Drosophila melanogaster: one gene and its partners. Changing the gene in region 1 together with any one later gene gives a genetic interaction. Each region holds a gene or a part of one and is shown on either strand. Other genes may lie near its edges.

The links.
Region 2: of Nsf2 (region 1) and igl, changing one suppresses a phenotype caused by changing the other (phenotypic suppression), as found in Drosophila melanogaster (one study listed by BioGRID).
Region 3: of Nsf2 (region 1) and Qtzl, changing one suppresses a phenotype caused by changing the other (phenotypic suppression), as found in Drosophila melanogaster (one study listed by BioGRID).
Region 4: of Nsf2 (region 1) and CG4119, changing one suppresses a phenotype caused by changing the other (phenotypic suppression), as found in Drosophila melanogaster (one study listed by BioGRID).

What each region holds. Positions count from the first base shown.
Region 1 is NT_033777.3:13,832,950-13,839,654, reverse strand, and holds Nsf2 (N-ethylmaleimide-sensitive factor 2), read left to right. Parts: upstream 1-1,663; 5' UTR 1,664-1,742; coding exon 1,743-1,852; intron 1,853-1,952; coding exon 1,953-2,277; intron 2,278-2,912; coding exon 2,913-3,878; intron 3,879-4,117; coding exon 4,118-4,975; 3' UTR 4,976-6,158; downstream 6,159-6,705. Other genes in the region: CG31495 (uncharacterized protein), read left to right, coding at 1-881. UniProt on the Drosophila melanogaster protein: Required for vesicle-mediated transport. Catalyzes the fusion of transport vesicles within the Golgi cisternae. Is also required for transport from the endoplasmic reticulum to the Golgi stack.
Region 2 is NT_033778.4:15,153,617-15,158,479, forward strand, and holds the start of igl (igloo), read left to right. Parts: upstream 1-1,820; 5' UTR 1,821-2,301; coding exon 2,302-2,599; intron 2,600-4,863.
Region 3 is NT_033779.5:11,994,108-11,997,226, forward strand, and holds Qtzl (quetzalcoatl), read left to right. Parts: upstream 1-1,632; 5' UTR 1,633-1,706; coding exon 1,707-1,836; intron 1,837-1,894; coding exon 1,895-2,136; 3' UTR 2,137-2,616; downstream 2,617-3,119. Other genes in the region: CG18789 (uncharacterized protein), read right to left, coding at 1-1,078, 1,134-1,210; Ada1-1 (transcriptional adaptor 1-1), read left to right, coding at 2,797-3,119.
Region 4 is NC_004354.4:5,664,075-5,671,182, forward strand, and holds CG4119 (uncharacterized protein), read left to right. Parts: upstream 1-1,977; 5' UTR 1,978-2,331; coding exon 2,332-2,394; intron 2,395-2,482; coding exon 2,483-2,724; intron 2,725-3,135; coding exon 3,136-4,258; intron 4,259-4,323; coding exon 4,324-5,152; intron 5,153-5,227; coding exon 5,228-5,871; intron 5,872-5,976; coding exon 5,977-6,072; 3' UTR 6,073-6,578; downstream 6,579-7,108. Other genes in the region: Sirt4 (sirtuin 4), read right to left, coding at 655-1,412, 1,614-1,794; Rab18, read right to left, coding at 6,841-6,942, 7,007-7,108.

The DNA of each region.
Region 1 (6,705 bases):
TGTGCCAACTGGTCCGAGAAGCCCTCCATGAAGCCATTGTCCGCACTCACGTCACCAGATGCCCGAAGGGCCTTCAAGTCACTCAGGTCGATCTCCTGGCCGCGGTAAAGATCATTCAGCCACGATTTGGCCGGCAGGAGGAGACTCTCCAGCTGCTCATGCCATATGAATATCTAGATCGTACCGCTTTCGATCCGAATGATCTCCTGTCCACCGGACGCCCAAGATGGTCTTGCCATCTGGTCGAAGGTAAGCCCAAGTCAGGCCTAACTACGGTGGCCGCTCAAATGGCTTTGAAAACAGACTGCCCTTTTATAAAATACATCTCGTCGGCCGAATTGCTGGGACTTAGCGATTCCGAAAAATGCCAGAGAATACGGGAAGTCTTGGAGGACGCCTATGTTTCCAGGCGCAGCTGCGTCATCATTGACGACTTTGAGCGTGTCATTGGTTACGGCGCCCTGGGTAAGCGGTACTCCAAGGAGTTCCTGCAGAAGCTGACGGTTCTTCTGAAGAAACAACCGCCCAACAGCCACGAGCTCATCATCATTTGCACAAGCAATCGTCTCGATGTCCTGGAGGAACTGGGCTTGCTATCCGTTTTCACTTCAGTTCACAATGTGCCAAATGTTTCCACGCCTAAAGAACTTATGGTCATAGTGGAAGCTTCAAAACGATTCGAGCCCGAGGAGCTACGCCAAATCGAGATCGCCATGGATGGCCGCAACGTCTCCATTGGCATCAAACGGTTGCTTGACTTGATTGCGTGGGTGAATTCCCTAAATCCCGACCGTCGAGCTGCCAAATTGCTGAAGAAATTGGGCGAAGCAATGGGATGGGTAGGGAACCATTCTAGTCCACTTGTACCTCAATACATTTAAGACGTTAGGTTAGGAAATGCAATATTGTATCTACAATTCCAGGAAAATAATTCCAAGTGATTCCAAATAATTCAGTAATGCTTTATATTTAAAAGAACCACGTAAGCATAAAAAAACCATCTAAAAAAATAATATTGCATTATTTTTTGGATGAACTTGCTTCCATTGCATTGCAATGTTCTTAAGACTAAAATGAACAGCCCGATAATGTGATTGCAAAGATACTAGATTATTATATTATATATATATTATATATACACCAGGCCAGACCTCTCAGTGGCCTTCGCCTGCTGTACGGAGAGCATTCCGTCCTCCAGGAGTTCGGTGACCGGTGGGCCCAACATCTCCTGGGCTGCTCCAAAGGCGGGCTTGATGTCGTTGTCCAATATATATATATATACATAATTATATATATAATATATATTATATATTATATATATATATTATATTGTTCTAGTGTCTTTGGTGATTGGCATAACAAGTTTTATTACCATATTATATATATATAAGTAAAAATAAAGATATTTGAATTGCAAATGCCACCCATTTTATCGTTATTTACTTAGAGGATTTGGCTTTTGATACAACACATTTTTTGGATTGTTTTCTTCACCAATCCTGGTGCTGCAGAGCTGCTTAGCAACAGCGAAGAAGTCTTGAATGCGGGGGATATATGTATTATTAGAAAATGCAAATGCGCGCCAATGAATTCAAATTTGCACTGCAGGTGCCGTAGCAGGCATCTTTTGCTCGCAATCACAGTGCATACACACACGCAATGCCGAACAGGGTTGCACTCCCTCAACGGGCTATCAGCTGTTTGAGACAATTTCGGGATTATATTATAAAATTGCTACGAAAATGTCAATTGAAAAAGCCCACCGGATGAGAGCGATCAAATGCCCAACGGATGAGCTGTCCCTGACGAACAAGGCGATTGTGAATGTGTCCGATTTCACGGAGGAGGTCAAGTGAGTGTTGGTTTTTGTTGTTTTTCCACTTCCTACGTGGGCGTACGAGCCTATGGAAACTTTCGCTTATGCTAATGACGCACCGCTTGATACCCTGCAGATATGTGGACATCTCGCCGGGCCCGGGGCTGCACTACATCTTCGCGCTGGAGAAGATCAGCGGGCCGGAGCTGCCGCTCGGCCACGTCGGATTCTCGCTGGTCCAGCGCAAGTGGGCCACGCTCTCCATCAACCAGGAAATAGACGTGCGGCCGTACCGATTCGATGCCAGCGCCGATATCATCACACTGGTCTCCTTCGAGACGGACTTCCTGCAGAAGAAGACCACCACGCAGGAGCCCTACGACTCCGACGAGATGGCCAAGGAGTTCCTCATGCAGTTCGCCGGAATGCCGCTGACCGTCGGCCAAACGCTCGTCTTTCAGGTAATGGTGTGGATGTGGCTCCCCCATAAATGTATGCAGTATAGAAAAATAGATAGCAAAGGACTGAAACTAAGGTAGTAATCTGGAGAGGATTAGTGATATATGCCAGAGCCAGTTAAAATACTACCCAATTCAATGAGGGTTCTCGGTTTATCTCGGACGCACCTATTCATTATTTCACCATTTATTGTGTGCACTTATAATAATTTTGGTTTTGTATAACTTTACAAAAAGATTTATACGTTCATAGCATAGCGGTAGTGAGAATATTCGTTATTTGTGTTATTCGATATTCGTTATTTTATATTTACTGACGTGTCTTGATTGTCATGAGATGCTGAATCTCATATTCCACATTTAGACGGTGACCTAATGCAAATATTAACAAGGTAGCTTACCTCCAACAATTAGAAACCCAAAGACACGTAACTCTCCCTTAGATCATCTTTTTGGCTCTCTGCCAAATCTTTTTTAATAATTCAGCATACAATGTCCCCCTTTTTTATGAACTAAAAATAGTGTGTTAGGCTGCCCTCATAGGAAATGCAACTATCTTAACATAGTAATTCTTCTAACATGCTCCTTAATGTACATATATCGTTCGTTTGCTAATAAGGATGTTTACCGCCTTTCAGTTCAAAGACAAGAAATTCCTGGGCCTCGCTGTAAAAACGCTGGAGGCAGTGGATCCCCGAACAGTGGGCGATTCCCTACCGAAGACTCGGAACGTACGATTCGGCCGCATCCTCGGTAACACGGTGGTGCAGTTCGAGAAGGCCGAAAACTCTGTGCTAAATCTGCAGGGTCGCTCCAAGGGTAAGATCGTGCGGCAGTCCATCATAAATCCGGACTGGGACTTTGGCAAGATGGGCATTGGTGGCCTAGACAAAGAGTTCAATGCGATTTTCCGACGCGCCTTCGCCTCTCGTGTTTTTCCGCCGGAACTTGTCGAACAACTGGGCATCAAGCACGTTAAGGGTATTCTGTTGTACGGACCACCAGGCACGGGAAAAACCCTGATGGCCCGGCAAATAGGTACCATGCTGAATGCCCGCGAACCCAAGATCGTGAATGGACCGCAGATCCTGGACAAGTACGTGGGTGAATCAGAAGCCAATATCCGGCGACTGTTTGCCGAGGCCGAGGAGGAGGAAAAGCGCTTGGGACCGAACAGTGGACTGCACATCATCATCTTCGACGAGATCGACGCCATTTGCAAGGCTCGCGGATCCGTGGCCGGTAATAGTGGTGTCCACGACACGGTCGTCAATCAACTGCTAGCCAAGATCGACGGCGTGGAGCAGTTGAACAACATCCTGGTAATAGGAATGACCAACCGGCGGGACATGATCGATGAGGCCCTGCTGCGACCTGGACGCTTGGAAGTGCAAATGGAGATCAGCTTGCCCAACGAGCAGGGTCGCGTCCAGATCCTGAATATCCACACCAAGCGGATGCGTGACTTTAACAAGATAGCTAGCGATGTGGACAACAATGAGATCGCGGCCAAGACAAAGAACTTCAGTGGCGCAGAGTTGGAGGGTCTGGTTAGAGCGGCCCAATCCACGGCCATGAATCGGTTAATAAAGGCGGACTCCAAGGTATATGATGCACAGCATGGCGTGAAAGCAAAGAAAGGGGGTTCTCTTAATTCACATTCGGATCGAAATGTTATTTTATTTATTTGGCGTATTCGCTTATTTCATTTATCTCTCGGTTTGCGTTTCGGGTTTCGTTTAATTTCGAGTAATTTGGTTTCGATAAACCAAGAAAGCGATTAACGTTCGACTGTTCCACTATTCTAAAATTACCATCATCATTTGCTTTTCTACGATCCAAGGTTCACGTGGACCCGGAGGCTATGGAAAAACTGCGTGTTACGCGAGCCGACTTTCTGCACGCATTGGACAACGACATCAAGCCCGCCTTTGGAGCAGCCCAGGAGATGCTGGAAAATCTGCTGGCACGCGGAATTATAAACTGGGGCCCACCGGTCACCGAACTCCTGGAGGACGGAATGCTCTCCGTACAGCAGGCGAAGGCCACTGAGAGCTCTGGCCTGGTGTCTGTTCTCATCGAAGGAGCTCCCAACTCCGGCAAATCAGCGCTGGCCGCTAATCTGGCCCAGTTGAGTGATTTCCCATTCGTTAAGGTCTGCTCCCCGGAAGATATGGTAGGATTTACGGAGTCAGCCAAGTGCCTGCACATCCGCAAGATCTTCGACGACGCCTATCGCTCCACATTGAGCTGCATTGTGGTGGACAATGTGGAGCGATTGCTAGACTACGGTCCAATTGGACCCAGGTACTCTAATCTCACGCTGCAGGCGCTATTGGTTCTACTGAAAAAGCAACCGCCAAAGGGTAGAAAACTGCTGATCCTGTGCACTTCCAGCCGGCGGGACGTTCTCGAGGAGATGGAAATGCTCTCGGCTTTCACGTCCGTCCTGCATGTGTCCAATCTCTCAACTCCCGAGAACGTGCTTGCCGTGCTGGATGATTCTGATTTGTTTAGTCCCGAGGAGCTGCAGAGCATTGCCAGGAAAATGGCGGGTAAGCGATTGTGTATCGGCATCAAGAAGCTGCTGGCTCTCATCGATATGATCCGGCAATCGGAGCCTCACCAGCGGGTTATCAAGTTCCTCAGCAAAATGGAGGAGGAGGGCGGTCTGGAAATGGATAGGGTGCAAGGGCACTAGCTACGCCTTTAAATTAATTTACATTCCATTATCAAACAGCAGAGTGGTTCGATTTGATTGATTCAAACTGGAAAAACGGTTATGTGTTTACAATTAAAAATATATATATATGTATTAAAACAAAAAACCGTTACAAAAATACTTATAACCTTTTGGGAAAAAAGTACAACGTAATATAATATAATAATATATTCCCATATTTCAAAATATCTTACTTGCAGAGTGGGTTTCTATAAAATTCTATACTTTCGTGAAACTTTGAAATTAGTTGCCTTCAAGCCTAATACACAGAACCGGTGACCACTTTTATTGTTTATTAGGAAGTGTATAATTTTATAAACTCATATTCTGCAAATCGAAGAAATCGACCCACCCTAGTGCAATTTTATGATTGTGTTTTTTTTCCCGCTATCAAAAGGGAATCACAATGATAGGTTTCAGCTGCAATATAATATTCTAACGCTATACTTCGCTTAAGTTCCACTAAAAAAAAAAAAATATAATAAAGCGTAACTGAAGACCAACTTGTGAGATAAAGTCAAGTAATTTGTAAGTTTTGAATTTGATGATACCAACGAACTTAAAGTACTCGCATTAGCGACTAAGGATAATCCGTCGGTGTCCACCATGAAAATCTCAGTTTGAGTGCACAGACTTACATAGAGAATTTGATACCAACATGATGTATTTTATAAGGATTTTACGGATATTGCATTTACCATGATAAATAAAAAAGACAAAAATCCGATGATGCAGCCCTAATAGATTGATCTTTTAAATCAAAATTGAATTAAGATGCTTAAGCGTTATACCGATACTTAAGAACTATAATTCTGAAAGTTATTTTACAGAGCGCACAGTTTTGAATACGTGTGATTTTTATTTACATGACTTTTTACCAAAAACGAAAACAAATCATTTTTGTTATATTTTTCTTTACATCCATAAGTGAGATCACTTTGGGTTTGAAAACTAGCTAAAGAAGGTGCATGTCTTAGCTACAATTTCTGAATTTCGATCGAAGCTTTTCGAAAAACACGAAATATATGTGAATCATTTGTAAATGGATATGTCTTTTATGGATAAACTTGATGTGTACCAACGGGATAACAAACTAATTTATGTAATTTACCCAATAGCTAAAAATAAATGGAGTTTTCCCAAAGACTATGGTCTTTTTAATAAGAACGGCTGAAACGATCTTTAGTCAAAAATATATATAATGCAAATTGATTGATTGCCTTTTCTTTTCGTTCCAGGACACATTAGTTCCCTTGGTAGTTTCGGAGTGTAGCAGCTTGAATTCTTTGAAAACTCCTATTTATTTAAATATTGTTTTTTCTCGGCGATCGCCGCCCGACAGCTGTCCGCTTGGAAGGCGTCAAGTGGTTATCATACCATGTACTCACCCGATCCGATCCGATCAGTCCGATCCATCGATCAGCTGTTCGCGACAAGATCCGACGCCGGAACCCAATCAGAGCAGTGGTCAGCTTGGCCGAGGTGCTGACCACAGCCAGTCGGTCGGCGTAATATGCAATTTGAATAAATGATTTATAATGAAAACACCTTAGCGGCGCGTCGTCTGCGTATACGTAATGTGGAGCGGAGTGGAGTGCCACACTGCTCGGTAATTGATATATGGCGCTAATTGCGCTCGACGCCCATTTGTGGTCCAGTCCAGCTTTATCAGCGGCAGTCGTCTGAGGAATCCTGGGTAGCCATAGCCA
Region 2 (4,863 bases), on another chromosome or scaffold:
GTTCTTTTTGGAAAGCTCTTATTAAATTTGAATCGAAATTCAGAAAGCCCTGGTGGATTTTATGTCCATTGAAACTCAATTAATTTGTACAGTTTCGATTTTTTTGTAGCTTGACTATAGCTTTTATCAAGGCTGCACCTTTTAATGGACATGTTAATTAAATGGTCTCGCTTTAATTAATAATTTTATTGTGCTTAAAACAGAGCTCTCTGTTATTGGTACATATTTACCAATGCCTTTCAGCCTGTTTCTGCCCCATTTCGGGCTGTTTATTCTGCGCACTTATGCCACGTTTGCAATGTGAAGCTAATTTGCATATGCTCAGACATCTGTAATATAATAACATATGTACATACATATGCGGGATTCATTTTGTGGGTAAGCAAGGGAAGTTTTGATTAAAATTGGCCCAAGGCCTGCATATCGCCCACTTTACGAGTATTCGTGGCTTGCACTTCAACTAGACTATGCGCACTTCAGCTTGATTGTTATGGTACTATCTCTAAGATAAAAGGTGGTATACACAAAACTTTATTGCCATCCCAATTATACACTTTAATTCTAGAATTTATAATTTATTCATAAATTCCATACTTTTTAAATTCAAAAGTTCTAAAGCATTGCAAATTAAGTGGGAGATTTTGGGATACAATAACTAAGCAATACAGGGAACTACAAAGGAATCGCAGACACAATAAAAGCTAAACCAATTCATTTGTCTCACGCACACCATCGCAGCGTCTTCACTCATACATAAGCCAAAGAGCCAACTCCCAAATATTAATGCCAAGACAAAAAGGAAGCCAGATGACAGCTGAGCTGTACGAGATGCAAAAGCTAGTTGCTTTTATGAATTGCTATATATACTCAAGGGAGCGGCCGGTGCTCATTGATATTTTTATGGGCCAGGTTTTCTGCTTGAATATATATTCTTTTTATTTGCATTCATTTTGGCTGGGCTTTCTTCATTCAGCTGTTTGTGCCTGGTTACACGCAATGTGTATGTATGTGTGTGTGTGTGTGAGAGAGTCCTTTGGCCTGCGCTGGTGTGAGTGTGGCCATTCCTTTCTCGATGATGATGCCATTGCCTTGGCTGCCTTTGCCGCTCTTTGGATTCTGGTTGTGTTGCCACCACAACGGTTTCTGCGGCGCCTCTAAGCCACATTCCTAGCATGGCTGTGTGCGTGCGTATCTGTGAGTCGGATTCGGCAGTCGGTTTGTTTATTTGCGAAAAAGTTTGCAGCCAGCGCTGGCTAACAACAACAGAGGCAGCTGCTGCCGTTGCCGCCTGGATAGAGCCACTCTCTTCTCGGGTCTCTTTTTTAGTCCCTTGCTAAACAGTAGTATACATGAAGGAAAAATTATTTAGAATAAATATTTAGACAAAAAAGTCATTTATTTGCCACTTAATACATCGTTGTAATATTGTTCATTTATAAGAAGCTTATTGAAATTGAATTAATTCATTGATTTGTAGATCCCAACATAAACTTAAATATCATATCCTGATTTTGTGATTATTGCCAAAAAAAATCAGAGGAAAAGTGGCTTTTGTTTAACCATTTATTTTTATTTTATTTAATTTCTTTGAAATTTTGAGACAATTAAGTTCTACACATACATGTATAAACCATATATTTTTGCCCACTGTGAGTCCTGCGAGAGAGCGGGAGAGAGAATTCTCTCGCTTCCTATTCCTATCTCTCCTCGAGGTCCTGGCTCTCTGTTTCCCTGGGCTTTGTGTGTCGTTGCCTGCCGGCTGGCGCGTCGCTGCTTGTTGAGCTCGAAACTCCAGCTCCTGCAGGATGTGGGGATATCGGGCATTCGGGGTCCGTGGCATCCGCAGTGAGGACGCGTCGCCGGCGCCGTTCAGTGTCAAAGTCAGTTGTGCCTGAGCTTGTGCCAGAGACAGTCAGTTTCGCTGCGAGTCTGCCATCCAGCTGGTTTCCGCTTCCGGTTCCGTGCGAGTTCTTTGGCTAGTAAATTGTGGTTGTGCACCTTTTTCTAATGACTTTTGTAAACACCAAAGTTTTTTGAACAAAAAAAATTACCGAGGCACAACGTATTTTTGTAAACATTTAATGCGAAAAAGGTTTCAGCTCGCGAAAGTCAAAGTGCAAATTGGCCCAGAAACAACAAGTATCGTTTATAAACTAGTTTCCAGTTCGGATGTGTGTGTGTGTACTATAGTGTGTGTGTGTGCAATTGATTAAACAACACAAGGGTAACCTAGGCCAACTGGAAGCGTAGAGACTCCATCAAAAGCCGCGGACTAAATTGCCAAATCCTCGATCCAATAAGATGGGCTGCAACACCAGCCAGGAGCTAAAGACGAAGGATGGCGCAGCCATGGATGCGGTCAGCAACGGCGAACCGGAGCCCAGTGCTCCTCCCTTGGAGGGCGAGTCATCCAAGTCATCCGCTAGCAATCATACGAATCACGCCAAATCCAGTTCAATTATCTCCAACGGCGAGGCGAAGGCGGCCAACGGGGGCGGCGCAGTTGGCGGGGGGAGTGGCAAGTCGGAAGCAACAAATGGCATTGATCGTCCCTGCGACAAGGCGGCAATCACGGAGTTCAATGACGACGAGGACGAAGGTAAGGCCCGTTCAATCTCCGATATCCAATACATTCATATTAACGACTGTTCAACATTCGGTGTGCGTGCGTGTGTGTGGGTGCACTTGGAGAAAATGTTCATCACATCAAAGTGTGGTGATTTTCCTTACTTTCTGAATTAAGAAAAATCTTTACAGCTATAGTAAAAAACCGAAATTGTACAAATATTTAAAGAAGCGAAGAATAGACACTAAATTTTTTTTAGTTTATAGGACTTTTTTTCGGTGTCCTGTGTGTGTGCGGATGAATGAAAATCCTGTGTCCAGGGGTTCGAGTATTATTTACTGTATCAACACGCTGGGAGCACGGCGTTATCGCATTTGCCTTTTTTCTTTGCCACTTTTCCATTTTCCCCCAGTTTTCCGGGCTCCCCGCGGCCCGCTGCTTAATGGTGTCGCAAATATGAATTGTTTAAGTGTATACACATATATGTATATATAAATTTATATATAAAGGGATGTTTGCATTTGGATGTATACACTGCACTCCATTACACGCCACTACATCCGCAAGCGCTTTTATGCGCCCGATGGCAAATTTGTGTTAGGTCCTTAACTTTGTTAAGTAGCCGCCTCGTTGTCCCACAGTCGCCTTGGGCATTTTTTTTCCCCAATGCGCATTAACGTAGGTTATGCTCCTGTTTATGGTATCTAATAAGCGTAGTCAGAAGTCACTTTTATGGCCAGCGATATGGGCCGCAGGATAACACAAATTCCATAGCTTGCTTTTGGGGGCACAATTTAGTTTACGACATATGATTCGCAGTAAAGTGATAATAACGTTTACTTTGCTTGAAAGCAAAAAACCTTTAACGACATATCAAAAATTGTCTACTTTTCTATAATATTTGCTTACAATACAAAAATGTATAATTAATTCTATTTATAAATGTACACGTAAAGTTATGGCCTCATTTGTTATTCTTCTATTGTACGAAATTAAATTTTAGTTGGAAAAATAACTCGAATTATTTAAAACTTCTGCCATAATTCACTGGAAATTTTATATACTTGCCTCCTGAAAATACATACATATCCAATTATTTTCAATTTACTTAGTTATTCATTTAAATTTTCACCACAATAACTTTTTACTCAGCCCAAATTTGGATGCAAAGTTCGGGGCTAATACCATTTGCAAACCCCAAAAAAAGGAGGAACTTTGTGCGGTTTATTTGCTCCTTTTTGATATAATGAAAATATGAAAAACCATCGAGGTGCACAGCGTTTCCAGAGACTGACTCATAAATTACCACAGCCAGCTTTCCCTTGTGGCAGGTGCAGCAGTAGTAGTGGCAGAAACTGTTTGTTTTGCCGCCGTTTTCCGCACGTTTTCCCGCTCCCCTCCCAATTTTCATTTCCCAGTTTCCCAAAGGGAGTGCTGATAAATTGTATAGCGACACTTTATCAATGGCTGACTGCACGGGAAAAGTTAGCCAGAAAATTTCGCTCCCTGTTAATGCCACAAATTATTATTATTGCTTAGCAATTTTCCCGCTGCCAACAGCTTTTAATTTGCTGGTTTATGTGTGCTGCTCACTTGGTTTTCCTCGTAACATTTGCCTTGAAATTAACTCAGCTAATTGGGGCTTCTTGGAATCGCTGAAATATTCTGGATAATCCTTGAAAGTTTGTGCGTAGCAAGAAAATTAAATCAGTTCTTATATTCACGGTAAGGCTATTCAATATTCAATTTCATTTGGGCTGTAGTGGTTCATAAATATTCGCCAGCTGCCTTTTCTTTTTTACTTGCCATAAAGTTCCTTACTATAAAGTTTAGGCCGCTCCTCGAACTTTTTTGATTTTCCTCTGCAGCAGCGTAAAAGAAAAGCGTAATAAAACATACAAATAAACTAACGAAAAGAAGTGAAAACCCAAATCAACCATAAAACTGCCGCTCGGTTACGCCATTTATGCCGCCACCCAAAATATTTTGTTAAACAAACACGTAGGCTGTATTTCAAATTGATTCCGCTTGCGAGTGAAACGAAATTAAAAACGTAAATCCGTAAATGCTTAAGTAGAAACTGGGTAAATTTTCTGCGGTCTGTCAAATAATTAAGATATGGCGATGACGAGGTCAATTTCGTTTTATATTTCACTTCCCTTTTCCCCGTTTGGACACGCCCAAAGCGAAATTACCTGCGAATTGCGAATGGGCCAGGAAGGACATAAATTGGCAATAAAGATGTCAACTCATGCAAAGTATAAGCCCAAACAAACAGACACGAGAGGAAAGGCGAC
Region 3 (3,119 bases), on another chromosome or scaffold:
TGGTAGAAATTGATCCGCCTTGAATGCTTCGATTTCCTGCTCGTTGAGATCCTCCATGCGACTGTAAACTGAGGACTGGATTTCGTTGGTCGGTTGAGCTTGCTGCTGCTGCTGCTGCATCATTTGCTGTTGCTGTTGCATTTGAAATTGTTGTTGCTGCTGCTGCATTTGTTGCTGTTGCATCTGCTGCTGCTGATGCATTTGTTGCTGTTGCATCTGTTGCTGCTGCTGCATCTGTTGCTGCTGCTGCATCTGTTGTTGATTAGGGAATGCAGATGCTGCTGCTTGAGCAAATAATCCGGAGGCAGCTGCCTGCTGCTGCTGTTGTAGTTGCTGAGAAGCCTGAGTAAACATTCCGCCCATATTTTGGCTTGCGGCTTGGCCAAAGATTCCCGTCGACTGTGGTTGCTGCTGCTGCTGTTGGAAACCACCGAAAGGATTAGGATTCACTGGCTGAGCTTGCACCTGAACCTGCGCCTGGGCGAAAATGTTGCCCCCTTGGAAAGCTTGTGCAGCAGGCTGCAGCTGTTGCTGCTGTGGCTGTCCAAAGACACTTTGTGCACCTGTTGCCGCAGCTCCTACACCAAAAATGCTATTCCTTGCATTGGCATTGCTAATCGTTCCGCCGAAAATGCTATTGGTGTTGCTGGCTTGGCTTGTGGCATTCCCAAATATATTTCCCGCACTCAGCGTGGGCTTTCCAAAAATGGATGCAGATGTATTGGCGGCAGCCGGAGCTGCTGCAGCGAAGGGATTACTGGACTGCTGAGGGGCAGCCGACACAGTGCCGCCCTCCGGCGTCTCGTGGATCTTGATCATCATTTCCAGGACCTGCGGCGACATCTGAAGCATGGTCTTCATCTTGTTGTTAGCCTCTAGGACCTCACGGTTAAACTGTTGGCTGAACTGTTCGAATTGGTTTTGTCGTTTGGCCTCGTAACACATGAACCGCACCTCCTCGAAGGATTGGTCCTGAATAAAGTTGGGGAAATTCGCTTTGTCCTTAAAGGGTCCGTAGGCGGACAAAGGCCACATCTTGCCATTGAGGCTGGATTCCATGTCGGCTTTGAGATATTGCCTAAAATAATTAAGTTATTAGTTCATCTGCATAGTTTTAATATCAATGTACTCACTTAACATCGAAATGCTCGTTGTTGCACTTTGCGCCATAGCGGCAGGAGCCTTGTTGAAAGAACCGGCAGACAACCATATTTAAATTTGATTTTAATTTTTGCCTATTTCCTATATTTATTATTTCAAAACTGCTTCAACTTTTGTACTTTTGTTTATAATTGTCTTACTTTGCGTATTGAGTATTCTTTGAGTATTTTATGGCTCACTGAGAAAAATATACCGTGCCTATGCGCGCAATTTCGTGAATTCGTAACTTAAGTTCGCTGAATGATTAAGATAATTTTGTAAGCAAACATATTTAAGATGAAAACTGGTTTTTGAAAATATAGTTCCTTGTAAATTATACATTAAGTGCGAATATATCTGAAAAATATTGGTTTCTTGCACAGATGCTATTCATTTTTCATATGTTCAAAGAAATTCAGAAACTTGCTTCTGCATAATCGAATCAGATAATTTTAAAGTGAATTCCGGAGTCCTTTGGTATATCTCGTGCCGCCGAATACGGTCCCACTGATTGTGAAATCCGTGATAACGAATTTTAACACCAGAATTTCTAGGATTCCATCAGAATGCAAAAAGTGCTGGGACGCATCCAGGCGCAGGTCCTCCGCTCCCGGGCGACGAATGCATTAGCCAATGTGGTTAGACACGAGGCCACCTCCTCCAGGACAGCGGCTAAACCAGCCGCCACATCCAAAGGTAAGCGGATCCTCCAAGATGCACAGTTACCGCTTACCAAAATCGTATTCGTTCGTAGAATTCCGGGAGAGACAGGTGCGATTCAACATAAAGAACGAACAGACCGAGGGTAGACCACTTTACCTGGATGCCCAGGCCACCACTCCAATGGACCCACGTGTATTGGACGCTATGCTCCCCTATCTGACCAATTTCTACGGAAATCTGGTTCGTACGCTTCGCCTTCAACGCCTGGCAAAAGATTCTGGCCTTGGGCAATCAACTGGGCACAACATTTGTCTGGGAATTGGACTGCAATGATCCCAATTTAACAAAGTGTAGCCAGCTGGTTCATCCCAAAAGCAACTCCACCATCCGACAGACTTCCTTCTCCAAAGACGGTTCCATTTTAGTTTGCGTGTGCGACGACAGCACCGTGTGGCGATGGGATCGCGTCAATTAGGATGAGTGTTTCTAGGCTAAAAGAATTTTCCTTATCCTTCTAAATCCGATACCATATTTATGTAACCATAGTTATTTTCAGTGTAATGTTTACCTTCAATATTAAGTATGTTCTTATGCGTAGCATTTATATACAATACTCATTGTATTGACAATTTATGTTAAATTATGTTAAATTTTTTAACATTAACCAAGATATTTATTCTATTCTATTACTTTTTTAATGATCAAATAGCTTCGCAAATATTATCATCTTATGTTGTGTGAATGGCGTGGGCTCTATCTTTAATGTTTATATTTTAACTAACTAACTTGTACACAATAAAAACTGTGAACACTAAAGATTAAAACCAATATTTTTTTAAAGGGTTCTTCAAAAATAACGGTTTTTATCTCAAATGTATCTGGTATTTTCAGCCGTTCTTTGAACGGTCACTCGAATCAGCTGCATTCATTTGTTTATATAGCAATTCGCAAACAGTTGGATTTTCCTGTTTAGTTGTTATTCCCAATACTAAAATGCTTACCGACAGAGTTCTGGCCACCAAGGAGGCGCTAGTGGTGGCTCTGGGCGACAACTGGGAGCGTTACCGGGCCAACATGAAGAATTGGTTTCGGAGCCGTTGGACTAAGGAGGAATTCGATGCGGAGTCGCGGAAAATCCTAACACCTGACAAACTGCACCTGCACAATCAGTTCCTGCTCGCCCTGCTCAACAAGATCGACGCCTTTGCTCCCCTGGAGAATCCTCCGGCCGTCCAGACCAGCAGCAGTAGTGGCAACCGAAGCAAACGGCGCAAAAGAAGTTGCCGCACCTTCGCCGAACGCCTTAATTTTGAGCT
Region 4 (7,108 bases), on another chromosome or scaffold:
CTTAAATATGCTAACCATGACCACTACTTAATATAATTATATTATTATTATTATTATTCTTAGCAGTCCTTCGATTTTGCCCATTGTGCGAGGTCTACGCATTGTTTTTCTAGCAGGAATGGACGATTGTCGTAGGAGGGGGGGTAATGAACCGCGTGTGAAAAGTGTCACTGGCCGTGTATGTGTGTGTGCGATGTGTGTTTGTGTGTGCGAGCGGGAGATGCCGATGCCTCAATTGCGGTTCATTTATATGGAGCACTGAGAGCAGCGGCCTGGAGCAAAAACAAAAACATTCAACGGGAGCGAGCGGAAGTGCGCAGCTCTCCCCGGCGCTCCTGCTTCCGCTTCCTGTTGGGATGTGCTGGAATTTCAGAGCACAGGACACTGAGAGAGACAGAGAGGACATGGACTCGGAACCCATGTGCTTGGGGGATGAGCGAATCCTTTTCCCGGAAAGCGTGTCATTGTGTTTCGCTCCAGAGGAGCCTGCGCGAAAATGATCCAAAGGCACAGCCATAAATCAGGAGCTCCGTTGCAACGCTACATTCCATTTGCAAATAGTAATCATTAACATTTATTTTTTAGCTAAAATAGAAAGCCTGGCTTTCCATAACTACAAATTTAGTGGGGGTCAACATATAACAACTGTGAGTATTAACTGACGCTTTTCGAATTGCGAAAGTCGAACAGTTTGGGTATGACATCGCCGCACTTGGCGGATATCTTGATATCCGCCAGGTGATCGGCGCGCGTTTCGCCAATATTAACAATGCCCACCGGTAGCTTGAGGTCCTTGGTCTGCAGGACAACGCGGTAGCCGGAGAAGACCAGGAGACTGGACCCGAGGACAAGCAGGCCATCGCTATTGTACACCATGCCGGCAATCTGATCCACTCGTGGCCGAGGCACAGAATCTCCGAAGAAGACAATTTCCGGCTTCAAGTCGCCGCCGCACTGCGTACACTCGGGTATCCGGAAGTTCTCGATGTACTCCAGCGGTATCTCTACATCGCCATCGGGCCGGATCATGTCGGGGGCATCTTTGAAGGCCGGATTTAGCGACGCCAGTATGCTCTGGAACTCGTGACGATCGATCCGGTACTCGCATGACAGGCACTTGACCACATAGCCACTGCCATGAACCTCCACAACATTTCGGCTGCCCGCCTTCGTGTGCAGCCGGTCCACGTTCTGGGTGACCACCGCCTGGACCCGCTCCTCCCGCTCGAATCTGGCCAGCGCGTGATGCGTGGCATTGGGCTGTGTGGCAGAAAACTTGGGCCAGCCCACAAAGTTCCTGGCCCAGTACCGCTTGCGCACCGCCGACGACTTGACGAACTCCATGTGCTGGACGGGCTTGTGGTTGGAGCGGGCGTAGAGGCCCACGCCTTCGGAACGGTAATCGGGAATCCCTGGAATTTATTTCAAGTTTTTAGACAGCCAGAAATGTTGATTTAAATAAAATACTAATGCGAATCCAAGTATAAGCTAGAAGTCACTTGCATTAGCATTATATAAATAAATGAATAATGTACAAGCTTTTGGAAGTCAATCTGAAATATTTGTGTTAATGGCTTCTGAACATAGAAAAGTCGGAAAATCATGAAACTCACCCGATTCCGTCGAGATGCCAGCGCCCGTGAGAACCAAAACATTCGGTTTGGACAGGAGAAAGTCCTCCAGCCGTTTGATGTCGTCCTCCACGACGGGCTTGTGATGCGGCACGTACTCCTGCCTGGCGGTGGAGCTGCGCAAGCTGGTGCTCCGGAAGCGGAGCAGCTGGCCCACACGCATTGTTTTGTTATGTATTATTGCAAGTAATATTTGGTTCTTTTTCGGTTACGTTACTAGAGGTGAGCGCACGCACATCGATGGCAACTCCTTCAGTCGCTTACCGCTGTAAATCGATTGTATGCCCCGCAATGGCAATCGATAACTGTACGACCCCCATCGATTTTTACACGCCATCAGCCGATAGCAGCTTGCCAGCAGCTACCATCTCTAGAGCAACGGCTGCAGAAAAAAGATATTCTATTCGGTAATTTACGCGTGGATTTATCACGCGCCGTGAACCCAGAAGTTACAGGCCAACCTTTCCGAGATTCGATCAGTGAACCTTGCGGGCGTCCAGCTTCGTAAGCACGAAACAGGACATTCACACACATATTTATCACTCCGTGTGGCGTTTGCGCCCATCCGTGCGTGCCTGTGTGTGTGTGTGTCGCTCGTCTGTGCGTGCGTGAGTGTGTTTGTGAATTGTCGGCTTTAATTTTGCAAGCTCGCTAAAGTTGTGTTTTCAAAGGACATCGCAAAGGAGTCGCAGCGCACAAGATGTCGTACCCGCCGCGGGCGCCCATGCCGCCCTTCATGAATACAGCCATACCGCCGCCGCACGTAAGTCCACCTTTTCTGGGTCACAATCACCATGAAGCTGTCAGAATCTGACGCCAAATCCTTTTCCACCTACTCCATCCGCTTTCAGATAATGCAGAACATGGCCAAGCCGCCGAGGAGCTTCCGTAACTCGGCCACCATTAGTTCACAGCCGACAGTATACCAACGTCCGCCGGAGCCGCAACCACAGTTCCGCGGACCCATCATTACCGTCTTCGTGGGCAACATCAGCGAACGCGTCCCGGAGGCACTGCTCAAACGCATCCTGAACGCTTGCGGCGTGGTAATCAATTGGAAACGGGTGTCCACATTCGGCTTCTGCGAATTTGAGTACGTTCAACCATAAATCGGTCATCCCAAAATCACTTTAGAAGGCTTAGGGCAGCACAAGAAGGTTTCGTTAGTTAAATAACGCTAGAAAAGTAATTGAAGAGCCATTGCATAAACAGCAGCATAACGCATCTCACTCGTTGTTTGATGCGTTTCCTAGAATAGCTTAGCTTATTTATAAAAAGATTGAAATACTTCTAGGAATGCTCCCTACTGCGACAGCTCTTCAAATTCTATATGCGCGATCGAATAACTACTCGAGCACTTTTAAGTAACCTAACTTTAAGCAATACAACACAGGGTTGAGCTTGCATACATTTATGTTTAGAGCCAACGGGCAGTCCACCCATTTGGCTCTCCAATTGTTCCTATAAATACTCTGCCTAACCGCTTTCCTTGGCATTCTTTCAGCGGACCTATTGCGGCAATGCGAGCCGTTCGCCTGCTCAGCGAGATGGAAATCGATGGCAAGAAGCTGGTAGCCAAGGTAGATGCCAAGAACAAGGTTCTCATCGAGGATTACAAGGAGCAGGAGTGCAAGAACGGCGATCGTTCCAACCCAGTGGACGAAAAGACCGAGGACGAGTTCGCCATTGCCCAGATGCACGAATTCCTGGAAGAGCACAAGCACGAGTTCGAAGGATTCGATAGCAGCAGTCGCGCCGATTTGTACGGCAGCGCCAATCGCAATAAGAAGACACGCCGCGAGGAAGACATAAAGATGAAGGTGCTAAGCGAAAATACCCTGGAGGAAGAAAAGCGCAACTTGATTAGCAGCGAGATAGGCAAATTCCGTATGCGTGCGGAGGAAGACGAGCACCGCAAAGAGCTGGAGAAGGAGAAGGAAAAGGAGAAGCTTGCGGCCAGCAAGGAGAAGGAGCGCAAAAAGCAGCGCGAAATGGAGCGAATGTCGTCGACCAGCAAGTCTGGCAGCTCATCGACAGCGGCCGCCAGTTCCTCCAGCGCTACAGCCACCTCTTCGACACCCGCCGCCGATGGGGCTGACATGTCGGATAAGACAGACAAGGAATCAGTCGCTGTTGTGATCAAGGAAACAGTTAAGGAGTCAAAGGAATCTGCCTCCTCCACCGGACGCAAGGAGTCGTCGTCGGCTGCCATCGAGATAACACAGAAGGAGCGCCGCTCTGACTCAAAGGAGACACGTCGCCGCCGCTCCAAATCCCGCTCCAAGGATCGCGAACGGGAACGTGAGCGTGAGCTGCGCGAGCTTCGCGACAAGGAGCGCGAACGTGAAAGGGATCGGGAGCGTGAGCGCGAGCGGGAACGCAACGAAATGCGCGAACGGGAGCGCAACGAGATGCGCGAACGGGAACGCGAAAGGGAGCGTGAACGGGAGCGCGAGGAGAAGCTGCTGAAGCCAGTCCGGGACACGTGGCGTGAAAAGGAAATGGAGGACGAACTGCGCGACCGCAAGAAAGCCGAGAAGAAGGCGCGCGAAAAGGAGATCGCCTACCAGACGCGCCTAACCGACTGGGAGGTTCGCGAGAAGCGCAAGGCTAAGGAGAACGAGAAGGTAAGTGACCACACAGTTTGCGGCACATGCTCTCAATCAACCATTACTAACTTTATGTCCAACAGTACCGCCTGAAGGAGTTGCTGCGCCAGGAGGAGCGCGAGACCGACGCCAAGCGACTGAAGGAGTTCGTCGAAGATTACGACGATGAGCGCGACGATTCTCTGTATTATCGCGGCCGCGAGCTGCAGCAGCGACTGGCGGAACGAGTGCGCGAGGCGGATGCCGATTCCAAGGATCGCGAGAAGGAGGCCGAAGAGTTGGCCGAACTCAAGTCCAAATTCTTTAGCGGGGAATACGAGAATCCGTCGCTGGAGTTCGAAAAGGCGCGTCTCGAGATCGAGAAGCTCTACGAGCCGCGCATCCTGATCAATGTGAACCAAGAGCCTCCGGCAGCGGCGACATCATCGGTCCACCAGCGCAAGCAGGCCGCCTCGGCGCCGGGCGAAGACGACGAGGGGCAGAAGCAGCGACAGAAGAGCCAGCAGCTGGACAGCTACGACCCAGACATGGCCGGTACGAATGATGATGACTCCATATCGAACGACGACCGTGCATCCATGGCCGACACAGCCTCCAATGCCAGTGGTGTCTATGCCAAGAACAACAACAACGACCAGTCGCTGTCGAATAGCTTGAGCAGGCATAACAGTGAGTCGCGCGATTCGCTGGCCCAGATCCATACTCCCACGCAGAGCGCGATCCTTAATGACCAAGAATCGGGTCACGATGCCATACTGCCATCGGCCACGCCGCCCATGACCATGCCCCTTATCTCGCTGACGCTGGGCAATAACCTCAAGAAGAAGAAGATAGAGGCCACAGGCGTGTTCGTCAACGACGACGACAACGATGAGAACATCAATCCCAAGAAGCGCAAACTTGTGCCGCTAGGTGAGTTTTCGATCAACTATATTAGATCGTAGAGCATCCTCTGATGACTTGCTGTTTGTTACCTTGCCTTCGCAGACTACGATGATAACATAAGCAACACCACGCCATCCAATCATGCAGCCAGCAGCGGCAGCGGAGCTGCGAACAACAGCAGCAGCAGCAACAACAATAACAGCAGCTCGGCGGATCGCCAAAGCTCCGCCGTGTCGGCGGCAACCGCTGCAGCCGCTGCCGTTAGCCAGAAGATCGCCCAGGCTTTCGGTGGCGGCTCATCGGGGTCGGGTTCGGGATCCGGCTCCGGTTCGAACGCATCAGGCGGCAAGAACAACGGCGGCGGCAGCAGCAGCAGCAGCAACAACAAACATAACAGCAACAGCAAACATGGTAAGAATGAGGCAGCTGCATCTGCTGGCAGTAGCGCAGATGCTGCCGCTGCGAACATCAAAAAGGATGAGAATGGTGCAAAGGTGTATGATGAAAAACGGCGGCATATAAAAAGCATTATTGACAGGATACCCACGCAAAAGGAGGAGCTATTTAATTATAAGCTAGACCGCAACGAGATTGACAGCGGTCTAATGGAACGCAAAATACGTCCATGGATAAATAAGAAAATCATCGAGTATATCGGTGAGCCGGAGCCGACGCTAGTGGACTTTATATGTTCCAAAGTGTTGGCCGGCAGCCCGCCTCAAAGCATCTTGGATGATGTGCAAATGGTGAGTAGTTTGAAGCGATACGATACGATACGATAACCACTACCATTCTATGAACTAATCCAAACTCTATCCCTCTCGCTCTGTTTCAATGTTTCAAATCTTCAGGTACTCGACGAGGAAGCCGAGGTCTTTGTGGTGAAGATGTGGCGTCTGCTCATTTACGAACTGGACGCCAAGAAGAGCGGCCTTGCGGGGAAGTAGTAAGGAGATGGGAGAGATGCCCGTCGTGCGCATCACTGGGGAACTGGGCGGGAGCAGGTGCGGATCCGAGGTATCGATGGAGGAGCAACAGCGTGAAGTTAGATTCTAAGTTACTCTTACGGAACCTATGCGATTACAAAAATGTACATAAGGGGCGTGCTCCGGGAATTGTTGCGGCCAAATGTCCAGCTTTGTTTTCTAAGCATCCGTCGCGTGCAAGGGATTTACAAGAAATTGATGAATAGCGAGCGAGCCAATCGTGAAGAACAGCTTCATTGATTTCTAAATCCACCTTGTTAGCGTTAATTAATAAATATTAATCATCGATAATTGTAAATATAAACCGAACTCACTTATAAATTTACACCACCAGATGCAATAGAAATAAAAAAAATCGCATAGCCCATGTACATTTCAGTTGGTCACTAATCCAATTCTCCACTTTATTTGTTGCGTTTGTGAACGCAAATGGAAAACTATCATCATGTCAATAAAATAATGAAAAGAAAATGCTGAACTTGACTTTTGACTGGTCGCAGACGAAATGCAAGCAGATGGACAATAAGCCGTACAGGAATATTAGAAGGATAGAATTTAAAAAGGATTCTGACTGATCTGCAAACCCTGCAAGCTAAGTGAATCGATAGCCCTGCTCAGATTGGAGTACACGATTGAACGTTAAGGTTGATTGACTTTATGCTAGTGATATTGAAACGATTAAATAAATACACGATATAAATTTGACAAAAGCACGCATAACATTCGAAATCAACAGTAACACGTAGACGCGCTTGCCTCCAGATCCCGATCGCTGGCGATGTCCAGACCGGCGGAGGCATTGCCATTGTTGAAGTATTCGGAGGAGACGATCTGCAAAGCGGATGTGGATAATTGGAAACACGAATGCCAAGTATTTGGTTGGTAGCTAGCTCACCTTCTCCACCACATCTTTGAACACATCGCTGACGAACTGATCGCATTTGGCTGAGGTCTCGATGAAGAGCGCCCTGTGCTTCCTGGCAAACTTTCGACCCTC